Linked DNA regions of Oryctolagus cuniculus. The protein of the gene in region 1 interacts with the protein of each later gene in a pairwise test. Links are inferred from orthologs where the notes say so. Each region holds a gene or a part of one and is shown on either strand. Other genes may lie near its edges.

The links.
Region 2: the proteins of CPSF7 (region 1) and SNRNP25 interact in binary tests that used the Homo sapiens proteins (3 or more experiments, as listed by UniProt). The two-hybrid records come from large-scale screens. The link is inferred for Oryctolagus cuniculus from reciprocal best matches to the Homo sapiens genes CPSF7 and SNRNP25.

What each region holds. Positions count from the first base shown.
Region 1 is NC_091432.1:10,749,887-10,754,774, forward strand, and holds the start of CPSF7 (cleavage and polyadenylation specificity factor subunit 7), read left to right. Parts: upstream 1-1,662; 5' UTR 1,663-1,798; exon of another isoform or gene 1,799-1,914; intron 1,915-1,934; exon of another isoform or gene 1,935-2,080; intron 2,081-2,430; 5' UTR 2,431-2,484; coding exon 2,485-2,538; intron 2,539-4,888. Other genes in the region: SDHAF2 (succinate dehydrogenase assembly factor 2, mitochondrial), read right to left, coding at 1,531-1,566.
Region 2 is NC_091450.1:34,568,133-34,573,155, reverse strand, and holds SNRNP25 (U11/U12 small nuclear ribonucleoprotein 25 kDa protein), read left to right. Parts: upstream 1-1,783; 5' UTR 1,784-2,015; coding exon 2,016-2,057; intron 2,058-2,777; coding exon 2,778-2,868; intron 2,869-2,972; coding exon 2,973-3,078; intron 3,079-3,501; coding exon 3,502-3,576; intron 3,577-3,856; coding exon 3,857-3,914; 3' UTR 3,915-4,226; downstream 4,227-5,023. Other genes in the region: POLR3K (DNA-directed RNA polymerase III subunit RPC10), read right to left, coding at 1,472-1,582.

The DNA.
Region 1 (4,888 bases):
AAAGAGTAACTTTTTCCCTGACAGTAATTGCTTTAAATACAAATGGATAAATTCCCAATCAAAAGACAAGGGTAGCTGAATGAAAAACAAAACAAAAAAATGATACATAGTCTCTAAGAGATTCATTTTAGATTTAAAGACAGGAGCTGCCGCTGTGGCACAGTGGGTGAAAGCCCTGGCCTGAAGTGCCAGCATCCCATGTGGGCACCGGTTCTAGTCCCGGCTGCTCTTCTTCTGATCCAGCTCTCTGCTATGGCCTGGGATAGCAGTAGAGGATGGCCCAAGTCCTTGGGCCCCTGCACCCACATGGGAGACCCAGAAGAAGCTCCTGGCTCCTGGCTTCGGATCAGCACAGCTCTGGCCGTTGCAGCCATCTGGAGAGTGAACCAGTGGATGGAAGACCTCTCTCTCTGTCTCTACCTCTCTAACTCTTTCAAATAAATAAAATAAATCTTTTAAAAAAAGAGAGATTTAAGGACACACATAGGCTGAAAGAATAGAAATGAAATTCCACACAGCAGGGATGACCATACTTACATCAGACGAAACAGATTTAAGTCAAAATTGTCACATGACACAAAAGACATTAAACAAATATAATGTTCTAAATCAATTGTCCAGAAAGGTCTAACTATAACCAGATGCACCCAACCACATCAGAGCATCCAAATACACAAGCAAACAGAACTGAAGGAAGAAACAGAGAGCAATATAGTAATTTTAAAAATGGCCAGAACATCCAAACAGCAGGTCAATAAGGAAATAGAAGACTTAACAATACTACAGAGCAAAAGACCTAACAGATATATACCCTTCATCCTACCCAACACAAGCAAAACACACATTCCTCTCAAGAATACGTTCATTCTCCAGGATAGATCCCATATTTCATCACAAAACAAGTCTCAGCAAATTTAAGAAGGCTTAATGAAGCACACCAGATGATCTTTTCTAACCTCAATGGAATAAAACTCGAAATCAAAAGCAGAAAGAAAAATGAAAATTCACAAATACGTAGTATTAACACATTCCTTGAAAAATCAACGGGCCAAAGATGGAATCAAAAGGGAACTCAGAAGACGTCTTAAAACAAACACTAAAATCCAACATACAAGAAATTATGAGATGTAACAAAAGCAGTTCTAAGAGTGAAGTTTATGGTGGTAAATGCCTACATCAAAAAGCAATATAAAGAGGAGACTGTGAAATCAGGGTAGGCATTTAAAAGGACTTAAGAAACAGGCAGAGAGGGCGCTCAGAGGACAGAGGAGGACAGAAACGGGTGCCCTCGCGGACTGACTTTTCAGCCAGATACTACCAGGTGAGCACACAGCAGGCTCACCAAAGCAGGGAAGCGATCTGAATTTCTTCAGCAGCAGGATCGGCCTCTCCTTGGCCTCCCTTTGCCCTGGGCTACAGGACAGCTGAACGCTCCCGCTTGTCTCCATGACCCCAGAAAACGAAACTTAGTCCCTGATACTGCTGGCCCCCGGCCCCGGCCCCAGCCCCTGGAACCTCCGCGTTCCTCACCCGCGCCAAAGCCGGGAACGCAGGGACCACCGCCATTTTTCCCAACCCGCACCGGAAGTCCCCTCTGGACTACTTCCGGGAACTCCTGACGTCTGGACTAGCGAAGCTCAGCCGCCGCAGAATACTTGAGCCGGAAGATGCGTCCTTGCGTCTGGCGGAAGTGGCGCTGCGTGTGACGCCGCCGGCGGGGGGGCGGGACCTGGGGCGGAGAGCGGTTCGCGCGCTTCGGGCCTAGTCCGGACCTGCCGCCGCTGCCGCCATATTCCCGGTAACGGGGGCGCGCGGCCGGGGGCCGGCTGGGCCGGAAGAAGGGCCGGGACCGACGCTGAGGCGGGGAGGGGGTCGGTTGAGCTTAGGGCGGCCGGAGTCAGCGAGCGGAGGGAGGTGCGGGTCCTTGAGGGAGGGGCCAAGCGCGCCGGGCCGGGTCTGTGGGGAGGGAGTGGGACAGGCCTAGCCGGGGGCGAGGATTGGGCCGGGATGAGAGGCGGAGGCGGATGGAGCTCTGGGACCCAAAGGCGCTGAGGCCGGGGTCGCCTCGGGGCCTGGGCAGGTGCGGGCAGGCTGGGCCTGCGGGCATCGCCGCCGTGTTCTTCGCAGCCCTGCCCGAAGGCCCTTGGGAGCCGAGGCCTGGACTAGCCTGTCGCGCCACCGGCAGCTGCGGCGCCGACGCGGCGCCCCCCGCGCCGGGCCCGAGGGTGATGGGCAGCGCGCCCCGCGAGCCCGGGCGGCCTGGGAGAGCGGGGGGGCGGCGCGAGGCCGGGGGCGGGGCGGGGCGGGTGGGGCCGGGCTCGGGCGGCCGGGATGCTGCGTCTCTGGAGACGGGATGTGGGCAACCATCGCCCTGCGCTCGGGCCGGGCCCGTCGTGCCTTCTAATTGTTGCCCTCTTCTGACTACCACAGTGGCGTCTTTCTTACTTTGTCCATTCTCCGGGCTCGAGAGCTTCCTTCGGAGCCATGTCAGAAGGAGTGGACTTGATTGATATATACGCTGATGAGGAGTTCAACCAGGTGAGAGGGTGGCGGTGGTCCTTGGGAGCTTTGGGCTTTTCCTCGATCGGCCGAGGAATCATCTCCAGTAACTCGCACTGGTTTCACGATGTGCCAGTGCCAAGCTGTGCCAGTCCGAGTCTTGAACACAACTCTGGAGTCCGAAATTTTCCCCCTAGCGGAGACTTTAAAGGTTACTGAGTATTCTGCTTAATGTTAATTTGAACCTTCAGGCTTAATTTTGAAGGGTTTGATTTAAGAGCATATAAAAATCAACTGTAATAGAATGGTGAATCAACCTGTGGAACTTGCTCCCCAAGGAAGCAAAAGTTGGGTGGCAGTCTCCTCAAAGACTTAGCACACTTAAAAATCGGAATTATGTTTGCTGCGGGTTGGTGAGAACAATGTTGATAGCTGTTTGGTCTGGCAGACTAGCTGGAGAAGTGTCCTCTCCAGCATGAAGGTACGAAGGCACTGCACTTGAGATACTTTAACGTTCAGTTTTGCTCCATTGCAATTGCTTTTGAGTTGAGTCTTTTATAAGTAGCTTGACTCCGGTCTTGAGAAGTACATCGACATTTTAATGTAATAAATTTTGTGTATTGTTCTCGGGAGGAAAGGGTAAAGAACATTGGGCAAAGTAGCTAAAAAGCAGATGTAGACCCATTCACATATCCTAAGTTGGAAGTGATTGTCTCTTTATGTTTTCATTTCACCAGAGAATGTTGTATATTTTTCTTTTTTTTTTTTTTTTTTTTTTTGACAGGCAGAGTGGACAGTGAGAGAGAGAGACAGAGAGAGAAAGGTCTTCCTTTGCCGTTGGATCACCCTCCAATGGCCGCCGCTGCAGCCGGCGCACCGCGCTGATCCGATGGCAGGAGCCAGGAGCCAGGTGCTTTTCCTGGTCTCCCATGGGGTGCAGGGCCCAAGCACCTGGGCCATCCTCCACTGCACTCCCTGGCCATAGCAGAGAGCTGGCCTGGAAGAGGGGCAACCGGGACAGAATCCGGCGCCCCAACCAGGACTAGAACCCGGTGTGCCGGCGCCGCTAGGTGGAGGATTAGCCTATTGAGCCACGGCGCCGGCTCAGAATGTTGTATATTTTTAATAGCTGTTTTCCTACGTCCTTGTTAAACTGGCATCATCTACATATGACTACTTAAATACATGATGTTTTTCTAAGTTTGGACAAGTCAAATAATTATGGATCAAAGAGAAGAGTTTAGAATGTTCATTTAGTTACAAGACCATTGCTTTCCTGAGTTTTCGATGTCCTTTAACTCAGACTTTTACCAATTCTTTGTATGGGTTTTGTTTTTTTCCTTTTTTTTTTTCTTTTTCTTTTTTTTTTTTTAGAGATTTATTTGAAAGAGTTACACAGAGAGAGAGAGAGGGCTTCCATCTGATGATCTGATGGTTCACTCCCCAGTTGGCTGCAATGGCTGGAGTTGCGCCTATTTGATCTGAAGCCAGGAGCTTCTTCCAGTTCTCCCATGCGGTTGCAGGGGCCCAAGGACTTGGGCCATCTTCTGCTTTCCCAGGCCGTAACAGAGAGCTGGATTGGAAGTGGAGCAGCCAGGTCTTGAACCGGTGCCCATGTGGGATGCCGGTGCTTTAGGACAGGCTGTGAACCTGCTGCACCACAGCGCTGGCCCTGTGGGTTCTTTTGTTTTTCTTTACAAGATAACAGGAAAATAAAGCCCTCTAGTTCTTTTCTGTCTTTAATGAAACTTTTCTCTCTGTGTGTAATTCCTTATCTATGGACTGATAACAGTGGTACTGATTGACTTTGGGAAATAGGCAGAACAGGGTCCTTGATCACTAGCCACATTTGGTCTGAGGAAGTAAGATTTTAAGTTTTTAAACGATATTACTCATAGGTGAATACTGTCCAGTATTCACTGCTCTGTTAGGGTTGACATTGATCTTAGCAATTTGTTCTCTTTAATTTAAAAAGAACTTTAAAAAAAAAAATGATCTGAGAGGCCAAAAGGAGTATTTAGATTCTAATAGACATTTATACAAATGACGTAGAATTTTTGATACTGGGCAAGTTGAAGAAAATGTAGATTTTGAATGCCTTATGTCTTGTGGAAAGTAAAGGAACGGGCACTCTTCCCCCCTCCCCCCATACATGAGTTAATTTTTGGCAAAGCTGGTTTTAGTGAAATCTGGAAACTGCTACAAAATGGCAAAAACCCTTGTCTGGCTAGGGTGTTAGACACTGGCTTGGTTGGAAGATATCCATTACAAATCGTGTTTTAGAATGTTTCAAGCATGTTACTGATTTGCCCCAAGCTGGACCATGTACCTTGGTCCCCAGCTTTATACAGTTTATGGTAAGACCCTAGTGGTGCTTGTTCCCTTAATG
Region 2 (5,023 bases), on another chromosome or scaffold:
ACACCCCGGGGCTCCAGGTGCACGGCAGACCAGTGCGGGCGGCTCGCCGGCTGGACACCCCGGGGCTCCAGGTGGGTGCCAGGCCAGTGCGGGCGGCTCGCCGGCTGGGCACCCCGGGGCTCCAGGTGCAGGGCAGACCAGTGCGCGCGGCTGGCCGGCTGGACACCCCGGGGCTCCAGGTGGGTGCCAGGCCAGTGCGGGCGGCTCGCCGGCTGGACACCCCGGGGCTCCAGGTGGGTGCCAGGCCAGTGCGGGCGGCTCGCCAGTTGGACACCCTGGGGCTCCAGGTGCGTGCCAGGCCAGTGCGCGCGGCTCGCCGGCTGGGCACCCCGGGGCTCCAGGTGCACACCAGACCAGTGCGCGCGGCTCGCCAGCTGGACACCCCGGGGCTTCAGGTGCACGGCAGACCAGTGCGGGCGGCTGGCCGGCTGGACACCCGGGGGCTCCAGGTGGGTGCCAGGCCAGTGCGGGCGGCTCGCCGGCTGGACACCCCGGGGCTCCAGGTGCAGGGCAGACCAGTGCGCGCGGCTCGCCAACTGGACACCCCGGGGCTCCAGGTGCACGGCAGACCAGTGCGGGCGGCTCGCCGGCTGGACACCCCGGGGCTCCAGGTGGGTGCCAGGCCAGTGCGGGCGGCTCGCCGGCTGGGCACCCCGGGGCTCCAGGTGCAGGGCAGACCAGTGCGCGCGGCTGGCCGGCTGGACACCCCGGGGCTCCAGGTGGGTGCCAGGCCAGTGCGGGCGGCTCGCCGGCTGGACACCCCGGGGCTCCAGGTGGGTGCCAGGCCAGTGCGGGCGGCTCGCCAGTTGGACACCCTGGGGCTCCAGGTGCGTGCCAGGCCAGTGCGCGCGGCTCGCCGGCTGGGCACCCCGGGGCTCCAGGTGCACACCAGACCAGTGCGCGCGGCTCGCCAGCTGGACACCCCGGGGCTTCAGGTGCACGGCAGACCAGTGCGGGCGGCTGGCCGGCTGGACACCCCGGGGCTCCAGGTGGGTGCCAGGCCAGTGCGGGCGGCTGGCCGGCTGGACACCCCGGGGCTCCAGGTGGGTGCCAGGCCAGTGCGCGCGGCTCGCCGGCTGGACACCCCGGGGCTCCAGGTGCGAGCCAGGCGGCCGGACAAACACAGGGAAGGAGGCCTGCCGAGGCCTTCTGCCCTGGACCGCGCTCGGACCACAAGGCAGCAGAAGGGACCGAGGGGGGCGGGAGCACTCCAGGGAGCGCGAGTAAACGGAGGCCGCCCGAGGAACGCCGGGCGCCACGCGGGACGCGGAGCGGCACCGAGGGCGGCCGCGGCCGGAGCTGGAGCCGCCGCCCTGCCCCGACCAGGCGACTCCGAAACCAGCCCCAGAAGGGAGGCGGCGGCCGGGCCAGGCGAGAGGCGCCGGCGTGCGCGCGTCTTGGACAGATGCGCCCACAGGCCAGGGACGCGAGGCCGGGGCCGCCGGAGGCCGACCCTAACGTCGAGGCCCACCTTGCGGGTGATGTTGTGCACGTAGGGGCAGGTGTTGCAGGCGAAGCGGTGGCAGCGCTGGCCCTCCTCCACGATCAGCCCGTTCCCGCAGCCGGGGCAGAACAGCAGCATGGCGGCGCCCTGGCCCGCGCGCCCCCACGGCCGGAAGCTCCCTGGCCGCGCGACGCCGACACCCCGCCCACCTCGACCTCACGTTGGTCCCGGCGGCCCCCGCCGCTAGCCCACCAATAGACACGCCGACCCTCGCTCCCAGCCGGCCCTGCGGCAAGCCGCCTCGCACTCCCATTGGTTGGGGCGCCCGCCCCGCCCCTTGGCCCGCCGGTGGTTGGACGTCCTCACGGAGGTGGGCCCAGTCCGCGTCCGTGCTCCGCCTCCCGAGCGTGGAGTGGCTGGGCCGGCGGCCGGCGGCTCCGGGCTGGCGACCGTGGAGGCAGCGGAGCAGGCCGAGGAGGCCGAGGGGCCCGAGGTGCCGGAGGAGGATGAGGACGAAGAGGAGACGCTGCCTCACTCGGAAGCGGTGGACGTGTTCCAGGAGGGTCTCGCCATGGTGGTGCAGGACCCGCTGCTCTGCGACCTGCCGATCCAGGTGCGCGCGGCCAGAGCGGCCACCTGCCGCCGGAGAGGTGCTGATGGGGGACTGCGGCCGGCCTGGTCCGGGCCCGGCGTGAAGGGGCAGGGGAAACGGTGCCAAACTTGATGCAGAAGGTTGTCGGTAAAGGACAGTTGAAGAATGGGAGCTCCGGCTGCTCCGCTCCCTTCCGGCTCCCTGCCAGCGCTCCTCGGGGAGCGGCGGAGGGCGGCCCAGTGCCTGGGGCCCGGTGAGGCTCCCGGCCCCTGGCTTCGGCGTGGCCTAGCCCTGGGTGCTGGGGCCGTTTGCGGATGGAAGACTCGTGTTTCTCTCCCCTCTCCTTCCTCCCCGCCCCGCCCCCGTCAAATAAGTAGATGCAGAGGCGAATTTCCTCTAAGAAAAGTGTTATACTGCAGTCTTATCACTGCCGTGTGTTCCTGCCTTGTGTATTTTGCACACATGCCTCCCACTTAGTCCAGGGCTCTGGCCTGGATCCTGGTGACCAGGGGCTCTTGGGCAAACTGAAAGGCCCAGCGTCTCCCTCCTCCCCCCCCAGCAGCCCCTGGGGGCTCACTCTCCCTGCTTCCACAGCCATTCGGCATGAAATAGAGAAGTCGGGTGGAACCTGAGACTGAGGTGCTAAAGGGAGCCCCTCCCCCGGCCCTCCATAAAGTTTGGTTCCGTTTGGGCTGATAAACAAAGCCAGGGTTCCCACTGCCCCTGCTTGGCGCTTTCTAGGTGACTTTGGAAGAGATCAACTCCCAGATTGCACTAGAATACGGCCAAGCGATGACGGTCCGAGTGTCCAAGATGGACGGAGAAGTCATGCGTGAGTGCCGCTCTCCGCTTCAGATGGTAGCGGGCCTGGCCGTCGGGAAACCCGCAGGCGGAAGCCAGGGCTGTGAATCCCCACCCCACGTCTTCTCCCTGCAGCTGTGGTCGTGGTGCAGAACGCCACGGTCCTGGACCTGAAGAAGGCCATCCAGAGATACGTGCAGCTCAAGCAGGAGCGAGAAGGGGGCATTCAGCACATCAGCTGGTGAGTGGGACAGCAGCCCCGTCACGGCCCGTCACAGGGGCCTGCAGGAAAGCTCCCTCCGCTGCTCTTACACGTCTCTCGTCATGTCACCCAGCTGAGCTGCTGATACCTTCACTTGGGGACACTTAGGACACTAGTGTGTCCAGAAGTGGCCTCCCCAGTGTCGGCTGGAGCACCGTCCATGGCCTACGCTGGTGACAGCTGGAGCACCATCCGTGGCCCTGTCCCTTCCTCAGACACTGCTGGCCTCGCTGTCCTGCTGAGTCGCGTGTCCTCACAGCAGCTCAGCACTGCCGTCTGTCTCCTTCGCGAGGTGTGCGGGGCCCAGCTGCCCCTCTGCCCCTCTGGCAGGCCCCACGGCACTGTCCCCCCGAGCTGCCGCGCTCGGCCTGCTCGGGAGTTTACCTGAGGCCCCCCGTGCAGGTCCTACGTGTGGAGGACGTACCACCTGACCTCTGCGGGAGAGAAGCTCACAGAGGACAGGAAGAAGCTCCGCGAGTAAGTCCAGGGAGGGGTCACGTGGTCTGCTGCCTCCGCGGGGCTCAGGAGATGGCAGGCAGCGGAGCAGAGCATGGGCACTGCTGGTTCTCTCCAGCCGTGGCTCAGGGCTGCACAGCTCGGGGCGACGCGTGCAAGTGAACCGCGGCCGGCTGCTCCTCTCGGGCCTGCGGGCGGGCGCGCACGCCTCACCTGTGGCTCACTCGGGGTCTCCCACACCCCTGCGGTGGGGACTTACACACCCACCTGCAGTCAGACACTGCGCCTTTTGTCCTTTCAGTTACGGGATCCGCAATCGGGACGAGGTTTCCTTCATCAAAAAGCTGAGGCAGAAGTGAGCCTCCAGACAAGACAGCCCTGCACCAGTGGCCAGGCTCCTCCTGGGCTGTGCCCCTTCACAGAACGGCTGTTGACGCAGCCTGGCCGTGCCCAGCACGAGCTGTCAGGACTGAGCAGCACGGGGTGGGGCTGGTTCTCCCCGGGAGCATGACCTGAGCCTGTTTTTACCCGAGGGTAAGCACCCGAGCCACCAGCAGACCCCCCGGGCTGTTTGGCCCCACCCACTGTACAGAATGAACTGTGTGCTGGGGGTCTGGCCCCACCCTCTGTGCAAAATAAACTGTGTGGTCTGGCCTGGCCCCTGTATAGAATGAACTGTGTGCTGTGGGGTCTGGCCTGGCCCCTGTATAGAATGAACTGTGTGCTGTGGGTCTGGCCTGGCCCCTGTATAGAATGAACTGTGTGCTGTGGGGTCTGGCCTGGCCCCTGTATAGAATGAACTGTGTGCTGTGGGGTCTGGCCTGGCCCCTGTATAGAATGAACCTGTGTGCTGTGGGGTCTGGCCTGGCCCCTGTATAGAATGAACTGTGTGCTGTGGGTCTGGCCCCTGTATAGAATGAACTGTGTGCTGTGGGTCTGCCCCCTGTATAGAATGAACTGTGTGCTGTGGGGTCTGGCCTGGCCCCTGTATAGAATGAACTGTGTGCTGTGGGTCTGGCCTGGCCCCTGTATAGAATGAACTGTGTGCTGTGGGGTCTGGCCTGGCCCCTGTATAGAATGAACTGTGTGCTGTGGGGTCTGGCCTGGCCCCTGTATAGAATGAACCTGTGTGCTGTGGGGTCTGGCCTGGCCCCTGTATAGAATGAACTGTGTGCTGTGGGTCTGGCCCCTGTATAGAATGAACTGTGTGCTGTGGGTCTGCCCCCTGTATAGAATGAACTGTGTGCTGTGGGGTCTGGCCTGGCCCCTGTATAGAATGAACTGTGTGCTGTGGGTCTGGCCTGGCCCCTGTATAGAATGAACTGTGTGCTGTGTGGTCTGGCCTGGCCCCTGTATAGAATGAACCTGTGTGCTGTGGGGTCTGGCCTGGCCCCTGTATAGAATGAACCTGTGTGCTGTGGGTCTGGCCCCTGTATAGAATGAACTGTGTGCTGTGGGTCTGCCCCCT